Lepisosteus oculatus: one gene and its partner. The protein of the gene in region 1 purifies or fractionates together with the protein of each later gene. This does not show direct contact. Links are inferred from orthologs where the notes say so. Each region holds a gene or a part of one and is shown on either strand. Other genes may lie near its edges.

Region 1 (7,887 bases):
ACGGAGAGAGACAGAGAGACAGAGAGACAGAGAGACAGAGAGACAGAGAGACAGAGAGACAGAGAGACAGAGAGACAGAGAGACAGAGAGACAGAGAGACAGAGAGACAGACCAGGGTCACGTGGCAGGAAACGGCCTCACCAGTCCCTCCTCATGCGTTTCTGCTGTGGGCTCAGGTCGTGCCGCGGCGGGGAGAACCTCTCCCGGCGCCCCCGGTCGTAATCGCGGTACTCCCCACGACTCCGCCGCTCCCTGCCCCGGTCCCACTCCCTGCGAGGAGAGAGAGAGAGGAGCACGTGAGCTCGCCCTGGCGCACACTCGGGACAGCCTCGGGCCCCCTGGAGTCCGGAGAGGCCCCAGGCTCGCCCAGTTCAAGACTCAGGGCTGCGCTGTGTACCCCCACCTCCCCCAAAACACAACGTTAAACACTCTGCTTGCTCTTCACACACCTCCTGACCCATCCGACAGAGCAACAGCTTCAAGAAGACGCCTGGGCTGCCTGTTCCAGCCTCCTACTGCCCTTTGTGCAAAGCAGTCTTCTCAATTGTGCTCTCACTTGTTTCTATTCAAGGCAGCCTTGGGATCCGTGAAGAATCGGCAATAGCAAACACTGACACAGAACAAAGGCTGCAGAGGACAGGAGGTTTTTTTAACACACCAAGTCAGGATCACCAACAAAGCACAGCCCAGAGGACACGGGTGAAAACCAAGAAGTGTACTGAGCATTAGTAACAGGAGGCTCTTTACACAAAGTGGTGGGTGCCTGTAACAAGCTGCCCAGGCATATTTGTAGCAGCAGATTCCCTGGGATCAATGACTGGTAAGCAGAGGAAAGTGGAGATGATCTAACTGTTCGATCGATCCACAGTTATCTTCCAGAATCCAGGTGTCTCAGGCTTCCCGGAGACCACGACCTTTGTGGCTGGCAGCGCACCCCTCCCCCCCGCCCCGTGACCCCTGACCTGTCGTTCCAGTCGTCCCGGCGCCGGTCCTCCCTCTCCCGGGACCGGTCGTAGTCACTCCGCTCACGCCGGAACTTGTCGCGCCGCCGGCGGTCGTATTCGTCATCGCTGTCAGCCATCGTCCTGCCCGGCCCGATCTGCACAGCGCACACGGACGACGCGCCTGGGAGACGAAACAGTGGCGGGATGAGGCAAGGGGCAGTCAAGACGTCACCAAGTGCACAACAGCTGCCAAAACACACGAATGCGAACAAAGGGCCTTGCGCGTCGACAGTGGTCGCAGCAGGGCTAGGGGGCGGGGCTCGTGGGGAGACCCCCTGCAGCTGGTGACCAAAAAGATCTATAACAGGTATGAACCAGGCAAGTCATACTTCAATAGCAAAACTCTTAAGGGGACTTAATTTAACAAATCACTTGCTTAACTGGCCACACGCAAATAATAATAACAACAACAACAACAACAACATCACTTTATTAACTCTATGAATCATCACTCATGAATTGGCTACATCAACATCACTCTATGAATTGGCTTCATTACTCTGCTCTCCTCCCCACTGATAGCTGATGTGTGGTGAGCGTTCTGGCGCACTATGGCTGCCGTCGCATCATCCAGGTGGGGCTGCACATTGGTGGTGCTGGAGGGGAGTCCCCATTACCTGTAAAGCGCTTTGAGTGGAGTGTCCAGAAAAGCGCTATATAAGTGTAAGCAATTATTATTATAATTATTATTATTAACCCTTAACAATTTCTTGTATTAGGAATTTGTTTTATTGCATACCCGAGCTTGCTCTCCATGAGACACAGACAGGGAGAGCTTGGGGTCAGAGCGCAGGGTCAGCCATTGTACAGTGCCCCTGGAACAGATGGGGTTAAGGGCCTTGCTCAGGGGCCCAACAGAGAAGGATTCCACTGCCGGCTGTGGGATTTGAACCGGCAACCTTCCAGCCACAGGCACAGATCCTGAGCCACAGAGCCACCGCTCCGCCCCAAGTCACTAGAAACTGGCAATGGTGTACCCACAAACATGCTGGACTGGGGTTCCCCAGAAACAGGGCCGGAGACCCCCCGGTTCAGAATACAGTACAGTCACAGTCTCGGAGCCCAGGCCGCAGGGTAACTCCAGCAGCCCAAAACACTGCTCTCTCAGCGCCATCTTCTGGTCCAAGTCACTCAAATAAAACTACTTGGACTGTTTTCCAGGACACATCAGCAAGCCGCTTGATCGCAGTTTGGGCTCTCTCCCAAACGCGCAGCTCCCGGCTAACTCACAGTGAAGTTTCACATCTCTGCCAAAAACAGAGGAGATCCAGCCAGAACCTGCCCACCCACAGCCTCTCTTAAGGTCATGAGACTCTGGCCTCTTAAAACAACCGTCTCCAGGGGTTTAACTTCCACTCTGTGAGCGCTCTGCGCCCTGTACCTCTTCCCCACGGCCCGCTTCAGCTACGCGAGCCTCTCGGTTTTAAAGTGCACCGTGCTGGCCACAAACAGGTGAAGACCAATCGCTCATAACCCGCACTGAGTAGTCATGCTCGAAACGACTCCCTCTCTCGGAAAGAGAAATTCACAACAGGCAAACGAAACTACCCCAACCCCACCGAGGAAGCGAATTCGGGACTGCGGACAAGCGGCGCTGCTTTACACAAAGAGTGGTGGGGGTCCGGAACAAGCTGTCCCCGCCCTCTTTCAAGAAACAGCAAAGACAGGATGAATGTGTTCCCTCTCCTCCCCCATCTCCCACACCTGTAAACTTCCTGCGGTACCGTCAACTTTCACATAAGAAATATGGCGGTCCTGAAAACTTCAGTGTCCCCCCTGCGAAGCGAATGAGCCCCCCACTAACCTTCCAGTGTTGCACAGAAACCAGAGGAAAAAAAACCCAGGCCGGTACCGGGGGGCAGAGCCCGGTAGGTTCGGCGACCGCGGGCTCTGTCAGTAAACGCCGAAGCCCCACGTCATTCATTCATTCAATCGCACCGCTGCCCCACAAAAGACGGCCGCAGGGATCACTCGCGCCGAGACACTTTCCCGATCAACTTCCTCTTAACCGCGAACAACACTGCGTGCACCGTGAAACACCGTCCGTATCGAGCTGCTTTCGGCGCCCACGAGTACAATGCCGCGGCCTCTTCCGTCTCGCAGCCCGGGCGGCTGCAGCAGGAACACACACGGCCCAGAGGGCTCTCTGCACCCGCTGCGCCTTCTCACGGGAGCCGTTCCCTCCAGGTCATTCAGAAACTGGAAGTGTCCAAGCTGCGTTTCGCCCTCTTTTCCCGGACAAACTGCACAGAAGCCGCCTTCACCCGCGGAATCTTACACTGGTTTCCACCGCCTCCGCTTCCAGAGCCACCGCCGCCTCCGAGCTCATCTACCCCTGCAGAGTCAACATCCCAGACCGCGGCTTCACCGGTAGATCCCAAGGCCTTAACTTACCCCCCAATAAAACAAAACATGACTTATTTTTCGATAACTTACCCGCTCGGCTTAAGTCCCGGGAAAACCTTCGTACCTCCAGAGAAAGGCGATAATTTCTTAATTAATTAAATTCCCACCGCGTCGCAATCCTTCCTCCCACTCCTCCAGCGGGCCTACAGCGCGAGAGAAGACCCGGATGTGGCCTCTAGCGAAGTCTTGGTCCCCTCCCCTTCGCCCGCACCATCAGCCCACAGCGCCCCCTAGCGCCCGGAGGTCTGCATGGCCTTTACGGCTGAAAAAAGGTGCAATATTAAATCACACGCTTAGAAGTCCCGACAAGCCTCAGCACCAGTGTTTGATATGCTTGAAGCTACTACAATTAAAATTGAACAGAAAATGATTTTATACATGTTTCAAGGATAATCAGATGCATTCACAGAATAATGATTCAGCTACAGTGACTCAGGACTTCAATGAAAAAAAAAACGGCATGACAGTCATAAAAAATATTTTCCATTCATGCAAAGGAAAACTTTGCAGAGTGTGTGCTTTGAATCTGGCCAGAATTCTATTTTTCAGCAGCGCACAATTCCCCCCTGAGTCTTTGGGAAACGAGACCTTGCCAGTGTCCCCTAGGCTCTCCAGTCTGTCATCTGTAGACATCAGCCCAGATTCAGGGACAGGTCCCCCAATTGGAAATTGCCCATTTTAAGACCACCAACAAATATTGCAGTCTCTCAGGAGAAAATGAGATACATGGGCCTATTCATTCAGTACAACCCACCCTGTCAGATCACTCACCCTGGGGCTCTGCACAGAGCCTGACGGGAGAGCAAGGGCTGAATAGTCCAGTTTGGCAGTAGGATCAGCTGATTTTTTAAATACAAAAAAACACAGCACAGACGTTTTTTGAGAAAATATTTTAATTTGTATAAAACCATTGCATAGCATCTGTAGAAGAGTAGGCAGTGGTCTAGGTGGAGTGGGTGTAGTAGGAGGGTGGTTTCACAGCAGGGAAGGGACATGGGGATTTCAGGAGGACAGTGGATTTATTTACAGTGATAGAAAAGGCAAATTGAACTGAAGAGCCCCCTCAAAAAAACAGGGAGATAATGAAATATAAAAGTGAGCAGGTGAGTAAGAAAGGAAGTTAAAAATCAAATGAAGGGTGCTCAGGGTCAGCTGCTCTTATAGCACAGCGAAGACTGGGGTGAACATAAGAAACACACTGCCATGGACAGACAGCGGACATCAGGGGGCGCTTCATCACCAGTATACACAAGGGACTCTCGGAGTCAGTTGTCCCGTGTGGGGAGGACTGGGCACTGTGGAGAGACTGGGTCCACACTCAGACAGGGCCATAGGGAGCTGACTGACATGAACAGACAGTGTGGACACTGAACAGTTTCCTACAGTTGTACTGTACACACCGTATCCACTGCCTGCTGGTCACTCGGACCTGAAGCAGCGCCCCCTGGTGGACTCCATCAGTCCCCATGGCCCCACTCTTGACTATACAGCTGGCTCTAGAGCAGGACCTCCCAGTCCAGCGCTGTCTGACACCTGGGTCTAGCAGGTCCGTCTGAGATCTTACTCCAGTCCCAGATGTAACAATGTATTTGCCCTTTGTTTGTTTTTGAATTGTTGTCAGTTCAGGAACAGTGAAAAGAGATTTTTATTTTTCAATAACAGCGAGAATGTGGAGAGTGGGAAGAAATGACAAAGATCTAGTTGATCAGATCAGTAGTGAAGGGATCACATTAAGCTACCAGGAGTAAAGGTGAAAAACACCAGTGGGATATGGGGTACCCAGAAGTGGGATTGAGAAGCCCTACTTGGTAAGATCCAGGATGTGAAATGAGGCTCAGAACAAACAGAATTTGAAACCCCCAGATCGAACCTGAGCCTTGGGGCAGTTTCCTACTCACAGGGGTGCCTTCTGAGAGGGTCAGACTTTAATGGAGGAAGAGGAGGGGAGCAGGACAGTGAGGGATGGGGTGGGCAGGGAGCTTCTGGCAGGTGCTCATTCCCAGAGACAGCTCCTCCTGCAGCGCAGCGCGGCTCGGCTCTCATGCACCCTGACGAATACTCTGGATGATCTGGAAGATGGCTGAGGATAGAACGAGAGGAGGGTCAGAATGAGGAGGGTCAGAGAGCGTCAGAGAGAGAGAGGACAGCAAGTCGGAGAGCATTTAAGAGAAAGGGTGGCAGGTCAGAGAATGAAAGAGAGGATGGTGGGTCAGAGAGAGAGGAGAGCAGGTCAGAGAGCATCAGAGAGCGAGGGGGGGAGGGAGGGCCAGAGGTTTTAGGATGAGAGAGCACGTTGGCATCAGAGACCTACCAGAGCCGCACACGACGAAGACGAACAGCGCCAGAAGCCAAGGGCCCACCGGAGAGTGGTCCTCATTGACTGTGCGCTGGAACACAGGGAGAGGAGAACAGCATGTCACAGCTGGACTGCAGTATCACCTTATACAGCACGTCACAGATGATATCAACTAAAGGGGCCCAGAGAGCCCTAGTCCAGTCAGTACAGGGTCTCCAGCACGGGTCCAGCCAGTACAGGGGACATGGGTCTCTAGTCCCACTCGAGTCAGTACGGGGCTCTCCAGCACTGCGTGCAGCGGTATCAATGTATAGCGGCGAGTTTCTGTGTCAGCATCCGTGTGTATCGATGAGTGGTGTCGGTATCGGTGTGTAGCGGGGAGTGTACCGTGGTTTTCTGGACGTGTCCCCGCTGGGTGATGGTCTTGCTATGCTTCTCGTTAGCGACTTTCATCCGCTGCACCGCCGACATACTGAAGCAATACTCAGCAATACCCGCCAGGAAATAAACACGACGGAATAAATATTTTTTAAAAAAGATTCTGAGTTTAAAACCGAAACCCGGTGACACTGACTAACGATGTTAAGTAATATTTCGTAAAAGCGTACGATTTCAACCACTCCGAACAGCCCCACACCGAACAGCTGCAACTATGCCAACGGAAAAGGAAGGCGAAGCGAAGGCACACGTGACCAGGGTTCGGGCCCCACACCTATCACGTGACGAGGGTCTGTCGCTCGTATTTTTTTAATCACCTATAATACCTCACGTCCTCACGTCCAGGCGACGATTCTAAAGTCTTCTTTCCAAACTCTGTACACGACGTCTTAAGCGACATTTCTTTACGTAAGACTAATTCCTGGACTTGCCAATTTGTCCGTGTGTAAAAAAAAAAGAGATACAACGTTTCCTTATTCCGCGTCCGCCTGTTCCAGACACCCACAACTCTTTGTGTAGAGAGGTGTTTTCTGTTCTCTGTTTTCGTGTTTCCCCTTACTTACCAGTTGCGGCTCGGGTTCTTGTTTCGCTCCTGAGAGTGAAATGATGCCCTGGTTTTACATCGGAAGCCAGACAGCGGAGGTAAAAGATGTTGCCAACGGGCACCATTTGGAAATAAAAACTCAAGTTACCAGTTTTCATAATCAGAGCCAATACTTTATTCATGTAGCTCAGTGCTACTGCGCACGCTGCAATGGACGTCTTGGGAAACGACGCCTTATGCGCTTTATACCTTCTTGTTTCTCTTTTTGGAATACTATGTTTTGGAATATAAAGTGGAAATTAATTTGGACAATTGCTGATAGATACTGTCTTACAAACAAAGTTAAATATAATTTAAGATCGTTCATAGACTTTATTCTGTTAGATTGACACGAACAAGATGACTAATGTGTATTTTGTAATAATGAGAAGGAAATTTTGTTAATTGTTTTGTGAATTGCGTATATACAAATTTGTTTTGGCTAGATTAGCAATATGTTATTGTTAAACTAAATGTTAAATATTGTTAATGTCTAAATGTTACATTTAGAGATTTAGAAATTATTTTATATTTTGTTAGACCTGATTTGGATAAAATATATGTTTTTATTATTAATCTGTGAATCCACAAACGTAAGTGGTCTAATACTGCTCCCTCTATTAATGATTTTAAGGTAGAATTTCTTTTTTGCTTAAATTCTATCAGAAATTTGAAGAATCAAAAAGGCAATACATACAGTGGAAATATGTACAAAGCTTAATTTTCAGCTTTTATAATTGTGAATTCTTATAGCTGTGAAGTGGGTTTATTTCTGTATCGGTTTTAATATTTTTCTTCTGTTGATGAATTTCTGATGTTTAAATAAAAACGTACATCCTCTCGACGCGTCATGACCGGCGGTAACAGCACAGCGCGTCTGAGTCAGGGCGCCCCCTGCCGGCCGGCCGTGGTCAGCGCAGGCCTGCTCTTGCTGAAGCGGGGGCCTACCTCATCTCCGTGCTCCTCCAGCACGGTCACCCGCAGTTCAGCCATCAGCCGCTCGCAGGCCTCCTCGACACCGCCGTCGGCCGGCGGCTCCGGGCCCCCCGGCCTCCGGGCCCGCAGGATCCGCTCGGTGTTGCTGGGAAGCGTCTTCCCGAGAGAGCGCTGCCCTCCCTCGGTCGACATCCGGGCGAAAACCACAACAACATCAATAATAA
Region 2 (7,959 bases), on another chromosome or scaffold:
AACTGCCTGGAGATCACAGGTTCTAATCATCACTGTGCAAATCAACTGGAGCTGCCAAAAACTGTGAGTGTCACTGGCTTGAGATGAAATATTCCCATGCTACACAGAATCTGGTTCCAAGGGGTTAAGAGTTCGTATAAAATACACACTGTCTAGGGCATTCTACCCTTAGACACAAAGGGATCCTTATACAAAACTGGGGTTGAGACCTAAGAAACAACCCAACACTTCAATACCATATTAAGAAAATGGGAAATAAATGCAAACGTTATCACTCTGTACCAGGGGTAATCAACAGTCCAACAGACTTTAACCATACATTTCTGAAGGGCAGGAACATCTTAATTATTTTAAATAGGTGGTGTACTCAATTAAGCAATTTAGAGATCATTTGGAAAAGAATATCCACCTGCCCTCATCTACCACTGTTGAATTCATCGATGACTTGCTTCATTGACCAATTGCTTAATTGTGCCTAATCTTGAAATAACAGGTGATTTAGGGTGACCCTTAAAAATAACTGCATTAAAACACTCCTTGTCAACCCCTGTTCTACAGGAAATATAAATTTTAATTTCATTCTAAGTGAACTGATTCAATGAAGGAGAACACTGGAAGACTCCAGTTCGCTTTGGGGAACATCATCTGGGGGTCCCTGGAACACCACACAGAAACGCCGAGGGATAAAAATGACCGGAGAGTGCAGTCTGGCTGACATGTTGCTGCTCCAGATCTGCAGTGTGAAAACAAGCTCTTTACTTGAGCATGGTAAAGAGTAGTTTGGGTACAGAAGCTTCATCTGCTCCGAAGGTTCACGTTTAAAGCAAAACTTGGTGAAAAATAATGCATTTAGGAAATAAAATGAACACCTGCTCTTTAGAACACTGAGCTGTCAACGTTCAGAACAAAAGATGATCTTAAAACAAAAGAGATTCTCCACTTACATCTATTTCTCCCTCATCGATCTCTCCATCGTCGTCATCTTTCTTTTTATCTCGTAAGGAATCTCTCCGACCCCTCTCAGGAGCCTTGGGCTCCTCTGCCCTTTTGGGCTCAGTGACCTTTTCTGGCTGCTGGGAGTCCTTCCTCTTTTCCTTCTTTTCCTCATCCTCAGGGTCTGCCTCTTCCTCCTCTCCTTCTTCCCCAGGCACCCTGTCCCCGTCCTCATCCTCGGGGGCGGCGCCGCTCGGCTCGTCGGGCACTTCCTCGTCGTAGTCCAGCTCGTGCTCGTCCAGCTCCCGCGTCACTGACGAGGACTCGTCCTTGAGGTCGCTTACCCGGCTGTCCGCAGCTGCTGCCTTCACCCCCTCGTCGTCCTCCTCCTCTTCCTCCTCCGCTAGCGGGGAAGACAAAAGCTTCTCCCGGCCCAGATCAGGCTCCGAGTCGGGGGACTTCGCCTCTTGGCTGACTCGATCCTCCTCCTCTTCATCGTCCGAGCAATTCACCCCTCGCCCCCTCGTCAATGCTGCACCTGACGGGACCTCGTGGCACAGCTCCCCTCCATACCCATCCTCCTCCTCCTCCTCCTGGTCCGACACTCTCTCCCCACCCTCGTCCTCTAGATCCTCCAGGTCCGACTCCGCCCCACCCTCCTGACTGTCCTCTTTCAGCATCTCGCTGTCCGAGGTCTCTTTCTCTTCCAGGGACTGTCTGTCATGACTGGGGCTTTCAGTTGCATCCATTGGAGGCTGCTCTACAGAGAAGACACGAGCAGAATAAAGACCCTATAAGTCACACTGTAAACACACAGATCAGAAGGAAAGCAAATTAATTTGAACACTGATTTTAAAGCCTAGCCTTTGACTGAGGATTAGTTCTCCACAGATCAGATATACTTTCTAGCCCCCTGTCAGATATATCAGAAAATTAAATCCGGTTACCAAATTTTTGACATTTGTCACTAGTATACTATTTAATGCAGCATCTAATTTTACTACTCCAGGATCAGACTCAAGTAGTATAGAGCCTGGTAAGAGGTGGGAGTTGGTTAATTTCTTTTAAAGAATGAAGTGAATTTATTTGCTCTTTTAATAGTCTTTACTTGGGATTCAAAAACACTTTCAGGAAGGTGTCAACTTTTCTTATTATTTATCACATTATGTCTTCCTCTGTAGCCCTGCCCATTGAGGAAAGTGAGCTTAACAACAAAGCTTAAAAGTAAATTATTATATATATATATGACCAATAGAGAATAGCTGTTTAGTTTCTAAATTGTTAATCTATTATTTTTTCATTTAGATTACTGTGAAAAACTTAAAAAAACGCACATATAAAAAGAGAATAGGATGTTGTCTAAAAAATTGCTACCCTACTGCATTCCCATTTGTTGAGATTTGCAGAATAATGCTAATAGCTCATTTTATTAGTACAAGAACGAGACATTCTAGTGTCTAGCCACGATCTACAAGTAATCTAGCAAGCGAAAACTACGTGACCTGTGTAAAAAATACGATCGTCCGTTGAGTAGGACTAAAACGAAAAGTACAATTTTATGTACAATTTAGAATTTGCACATAAATCCAAACAAAACACCTCGATAAAGAACTAAAACAAATTGGCCTGCATAAATAGGTTTAGGTGATAAATACTCTAGTCTATAACCTGATAGCAAGGGTTTCGTTTTCCTTAAATTGTCTTTCTATACAGTGCAGGATCAGGTATCATTGTCTCGTTTAAAACCATCAAATCGCACTCCTATGAATTTACCCCCCTGCCTACAACTTCACTCGCTGGGCTATTATGCCACCAAATAAATTAGTGAATCAATGAAGAATATAGCGGCTTGGAAGACAGCAGGCCCCACGACTGCCTTCAGTGAACCAGGCAGAACACCGTCTCTGCAGATGCATCATGAGAGCGCCTAAAATCCCTATAAAACAGATTTAACTTACCTTTCCGGGACAACAACTACTTTCCCCCCTTAAAATACCTTCTTGGTTTTAGCCCCCTTCCTAATCTGCTAAGCAGCCATGCTTCCCTGTTCATCAACAATACAGACCTCCCCCCTTCAAAAAAATAATCACAAAAAAATAGCAGATATCTGACTGTTACCGTTGCCAACCTGTACGTCTTTTGAGACAGGAGTGTGATCGTAACTACTACCCCGTCTCTCCCCGTCCAAGTGTAAAGCTGTACACAGTAATAAATATTCGGATTGCTTTTTCTTCTATCGGAGAGATTCATAAACCCTGCTCTACACAGTGAGAGCGGCCATTGCCGTTACGTCATCAAGGCAAGACGGCGTCAGACGGCGCAGAGGACTAGGACGTTAAGGGTGCCAGGCGGTACTTTGTTATTCGCCGAAGATCAAATCTGGATATGCTTTATATGATTGCCAGTATTACAATGGCTTTTGTTTAGTTTTTATTCTTAACTAACGTTATCGCCAAAATTAGGGCAGCCAGCAATCATAATCAAAATAACTTGTTCACATAATAAACTAACAGGAGAAGCGTCGGTGATGTTAATTTTCAAACAAAATGTGTAAAATAGCTACATTGCTTAGAACGTGAGTGTCGTGAAAATGACCTTTTAACGTCTAACCACAGATGTTGCTTTTGTACAACCTCATTGGCCTTTTGGATTGGAAGTTTTCAAACGTTTCACTATGTGCACTCGACTTTCTGCTCAGAAAGAGACGTTATCTTCTATTACAGAGCTGTCTCAGATCTTTCCACGACTAACTTTTAAAACTAACCTTTGCTTCCAATTTTTGAAATATCAAAAAGCAGCTGGTGTCACTCTGAAGGCGGCATATCTGTTTCAGAGTTGGACAGGCTCTTTGACTTTCCACCGGAAAATGCATCCCATTTCTATGTGCCTTCAATTCAACCGCCCATACTATCGACTGCAGGAGTTTGGAGATTATGTGATACCAACATCTACCACTAGATGGAGATCAAACCTCATTTACAAATTTCCGTGCAGTCCCGCTGAAAACGGGCGGAATTTGAGGTATCCCAGGTGAACGACACTTGAAGTATTCGGTATACAGTATGTTTCTTGTCGAAACCCTTTTTTTTTTGGACATTTTACAACATTTTTTAACAACGATAACAATTCTTCAAATGTATTTTTTCACCCAAGAACTTGAAATATGTATTTGATTTGAGATTTAATTAAACTTTTAACTAGAAACTTAAAACACAATTTGACACTTTCGTCCAACGTGACTTATATTTGTACTAATTTATTCAGTGGGCCATTTCAGACTGAACTAGGCCTGAGAGCCTAAGCTTATACAACAGCAGTGCGCTAACAGCTGACCTCTTAACCTTCAAATTGGGAATTCATAACCTCTACTCTGATAACTTTCTTTAGGTGAACTCATGAGAAAAATAAAAATAGATCCTATTTTATCTTCTGAGTTTGTTGAGATTCTGTCAGTAAAAGAACATAAACTGATATCAGCAAGTTAAAAACCCAACACAGTGGGATGTTTTTAAAAAGTGGTCTAACGCATGCAAGATTAAGCACGGAGGTTCCTCACTTGGTATCATAAGAACTTTGTACATTATAGCTGACATGCTTGTTTTCTGTTCATACAGTAGGTCTAATTAATACAATGGTCACTGAGATTACATGCCACTAATATCCAACATGCTGTGTTAAACACAGATGGAAATGAAAAGGCATGTTTTTTTGGTACCAGAATTGAATATGTAGAATTATCTATTTACATGGTGAAAAACATTAAAATCTGTTTTTCTGAAAGGATAAAACGAAGAAACAGGATAGGTGTAATTTCTTGTGCTGATTGTCATTGTTTTTTTTTTAAATCTAGAGGGGCAACCAATTAAACTCCTTCAATTATACAAGGCAGGATAAAGATCTTACTTCAGAATTGCCATAAATAGTGTACTGAGGCAGGACAGCAATTCTTTAAAAATCAGACTAGATTATCAGATTAGATTCCTTCATGCTGGTAGGAATGACAATTAAAAATAAGGCTTTTGTCTTTGCTGTTCATAATGGATACTGAAGAGCTAAGGCTTTGATTTCCATAGATTCATGCTATGTACAGGCAGGGGACCCTGGTGCACAGCTATAGGATGACTTACAGGAGGAAAGGGATCAGCTGATTGAGAACTCCTCTATAACTGACAGTGGAGAGCTCCTCAGCTGAAGCCGGAGAGACAGACACATTCAGACAGGGAAGAGAAAGGTTAGGGATAAGAACTGCACTCAAGCAAGAAGGACACAGCTCAACCCAATACTGTGGGCAATGCTGGAGAGCACAGAAAGTCACATGCTAATGTCATTCTCTTGTGGATAATAAGTAACCTGAGGAATTAAGTGTTTTAAGTCATTCTGCCTCTACAAATAACAGGTCACTGAAACATCACCAAAAGGTATGCATCTGAGGTAAGAATTCTTAAAGCTTTGCAACCTGTATGTGAGAACTGATTATTTAAATTATTAAAACTAGAATATGTGTGGCTGTTCACATGTTTTGCCTTTTTTATTCTAAAGTTCCAAAGTTTTAATGTTAACCGTAAATGCAAAATGTTTAATTAAATGTAAAAGTAGTTTGATTTATGGGTTGAAGTTTTTTTTTTACACGCCTTGTTATTACAGGTATTAGTTTCATTTTAAAAATATACCATATTTCAGCAAGACTGAAAAAAAATAAAAACCAATTTGTAAACTTACCAATGTAATTTGCTTTTGTATTTTAAATATCTTTACATTTATACAGAGAAGGTGTAGTAAGAATTCATAAAGCTTCATTTTAGTATTTTTACTATATATGTACAGTACTGACAAACTCAGTCCTGTTTGGTGTTTGTCTGTCAACAGTTTTATTGACAGGCTGCATAGTTCATTAACTGCCATGAGGCTCACTGAACAACAGGTTAGATCTCAGTTTTAAGCACAATATATGAGCTAAATATGAGTATATTTAACAACACCATTTCGACTGGCCACACAAGAGTCTCATAACAAACGAGTACTCTACTTTAGTAAATATAGTAACATCATTTCTTTTACTTTACATCAGTTACTAAAGTAAAGTAGGTAATACTTGCCTACATTAGATTTACTGTAACATTAGCAAAATATTTTGCCTATGCTTTTCAATTCCAGAGTTTGCTGAAATACACATTACAAAACCCATGATGAGTTTGCAGAAGAAACGTCACTTTAATCTCTAATTTCAACTTGGAAATGCAAGCTCCTAATGCTATAAAATCAGAACCAAACACAGAACAGAATTATTTTAGATCAACCTTCCAGGAATTCCATGTAAAAATGGGTACAGTCTTATGGTTTCATGGCATTTTTTCTTTGAAGACGTGCAAAAGTAGCATGGTGATAAATTTGTGAAGACCTTTGATATTAGCCTGTTTCATCTAACTTTTCTATATTCATGGAACAGTTTATACTTTAATGACTGTATGTTTGATTTTATGTTATTGCAAGAAATTCTAAATCTGTGATGCACCCCCACAACCACTCTCCCCCATTTTTATATTCAGCCAAACCCGGTCACTTATTTTAAAATCCATACTGCTGTACTTTGTACGTCTCTCATAAATCCTCTTTGAATTTTAAATATGCACACTGAGTGCATGCCTTACAGGCTTTGTAACGCACAATTGATTTGTCAGTATGTGATCAGGTGCTAGTTGGACCAAATATCTGGTCTGGAAGAAAGTGTATGAAGAACTGTACATCCTCTAGATACTGTATGCTTTTTATTCACTGCTTCTGCTTTGTATATGAGGCACTTGCTCCAGAAAAAAAAGCATTTTAAATACTTTTCCAAGCAACTTATAAAGAGATGTCTAGTCAGGAATGTAAAAATCTGTCTATTGGCCTGTCCATCACTCATTTTCAATCCACCCTTGACTTAGTTCCTGTTGTTGAACCTGAACTCATTCAAGTCCAGTGTTTATTAATGATTTTAAAATAAAAACTATAGTTAACTATGTCATCTAAGGGTATGTGAAATGATATAAGATTTAACAAAGAACATTATTTTCCAGCTGGCGGCCACAGATAATTTCTCTTTGTTTCTGAAATGCTTTCTGCTATACCGAAATGATTAAGTAATTTCTGTTTGTTAGTGGTATACGTGAAATTATTGCTAAAAACCCTGTTGAGAGTCAGGATGTTTTAAGAGCAAACAGAAGTCACTAAAATTATGGGGCATATGACTATTATGTGTATTATAGGAAATTATGGGACATATGAATTGAAGTATCTATACTTGCAAAACAGAATTAGAAGTCTGTTCAGACAATTCTACTATCTTTATGATCTTTTACAAGACCATGAGTGGCATGCATCTCTGTGCTTACTTTGTCCTTATACAGTATAAGCATCAATATCAATTCCATTCCATTTTTGCTGCCTCTAAACCACACCACCAGCGCTAGCAGGACATCTCTTCTTTTGTGGGAGAGACCACTTCCTTCTCCCTGTGATTTTGGTAGCGTCTTTGCCATTGTGTCAAGTTAAATTATTTGCTGGAGAAAAAGAAAAGTAAAGACAAGTGTCATTTAATACCAGGTGACTCACACATAGGGAGATCAACAGCCACAAGTGACTTTTGTTGGATGCAGATTTTCATTAATGTGAAGTAATGGAAAAATGGGCTGTTTTATTTTTAAACGCTCTAATGAAAGTTCTCCCTCTGTATGCAGTCAGGAAATTTGAAAAGGCAGCCCCAGTGACAATTCCTGATGACTCAGTCACAAGCGTATCAGTATCCTTAAGAGGCTCAGTAGAAAAATCTTGCAATTGCAGATCAGTTCGCCGTCCATAGCAATATCCACAAATGTGCTTTCATTTTTCATTGTACTGTTGCATAATTCAACAGGCAGGAAGTTATCTTGCGAAGAAGAAGGTTGGTGAAGCCGGTGTAAGAATACATCTGCTCGCACAAGGTTAAACCAAGACCGCCTTAAAAAAAGCTATCTCCTTTTTTAAGCCTGGAGTCCTGTGTGTATTTCA

The links.
Region 2: the proteins of srrt (region 1) and zc3h18 purify together in Homo sapiens (co-immunoprecipitation; 4 studies listed by BioGRID and IntAct, counting the BioPlex papers as one, with this or other methods). This does not show direct contact. The link is inferred for Lepisosteus oculatus from reciprocal best matches to the Homo sapiens genes SRRT and ZC3H18.

What each region holds. Positions count from the first base shown.
Region 1 is NC_090698.1:10,692,314-10,700,200, forward strand, and holds the start of srrt (serrate RNA effector molecule homolog), read right to left. Parts: upstream 3,597-7,887; 5' UTR 3,441-3,596; intron 1,126-3,440; 5' UTR 1,082-1,125; coding exon 963-1,081; intron 271-962; coding exon 142-270; intron 1-141. Other genes in the region: uncharacterized protein, read right to left, coding at 5,450-5,490, 5,722-5,797, 7,676-7,855. UniProt on the Homo sapiens protein: Acts as a mediator between the cap-binding complex (CBC) and the primary microRNAs (miRNAs) processing machinery during cell proliferation.
Region 2 is NC_090715.1:14,057,008-14,064,966, reverse strand, and holds the start of zc3h18 (zinc finger CCCH domain-containing protein 18), read right to left. Parts: upstream 3,243-7,959; 5' UTR 3,184-3,242; coding exon 3,052-3,183; intron 1,694-3,051; exon of another isoform or gene 1,689-1,693; coding exon 945-1,688; intron 1-944.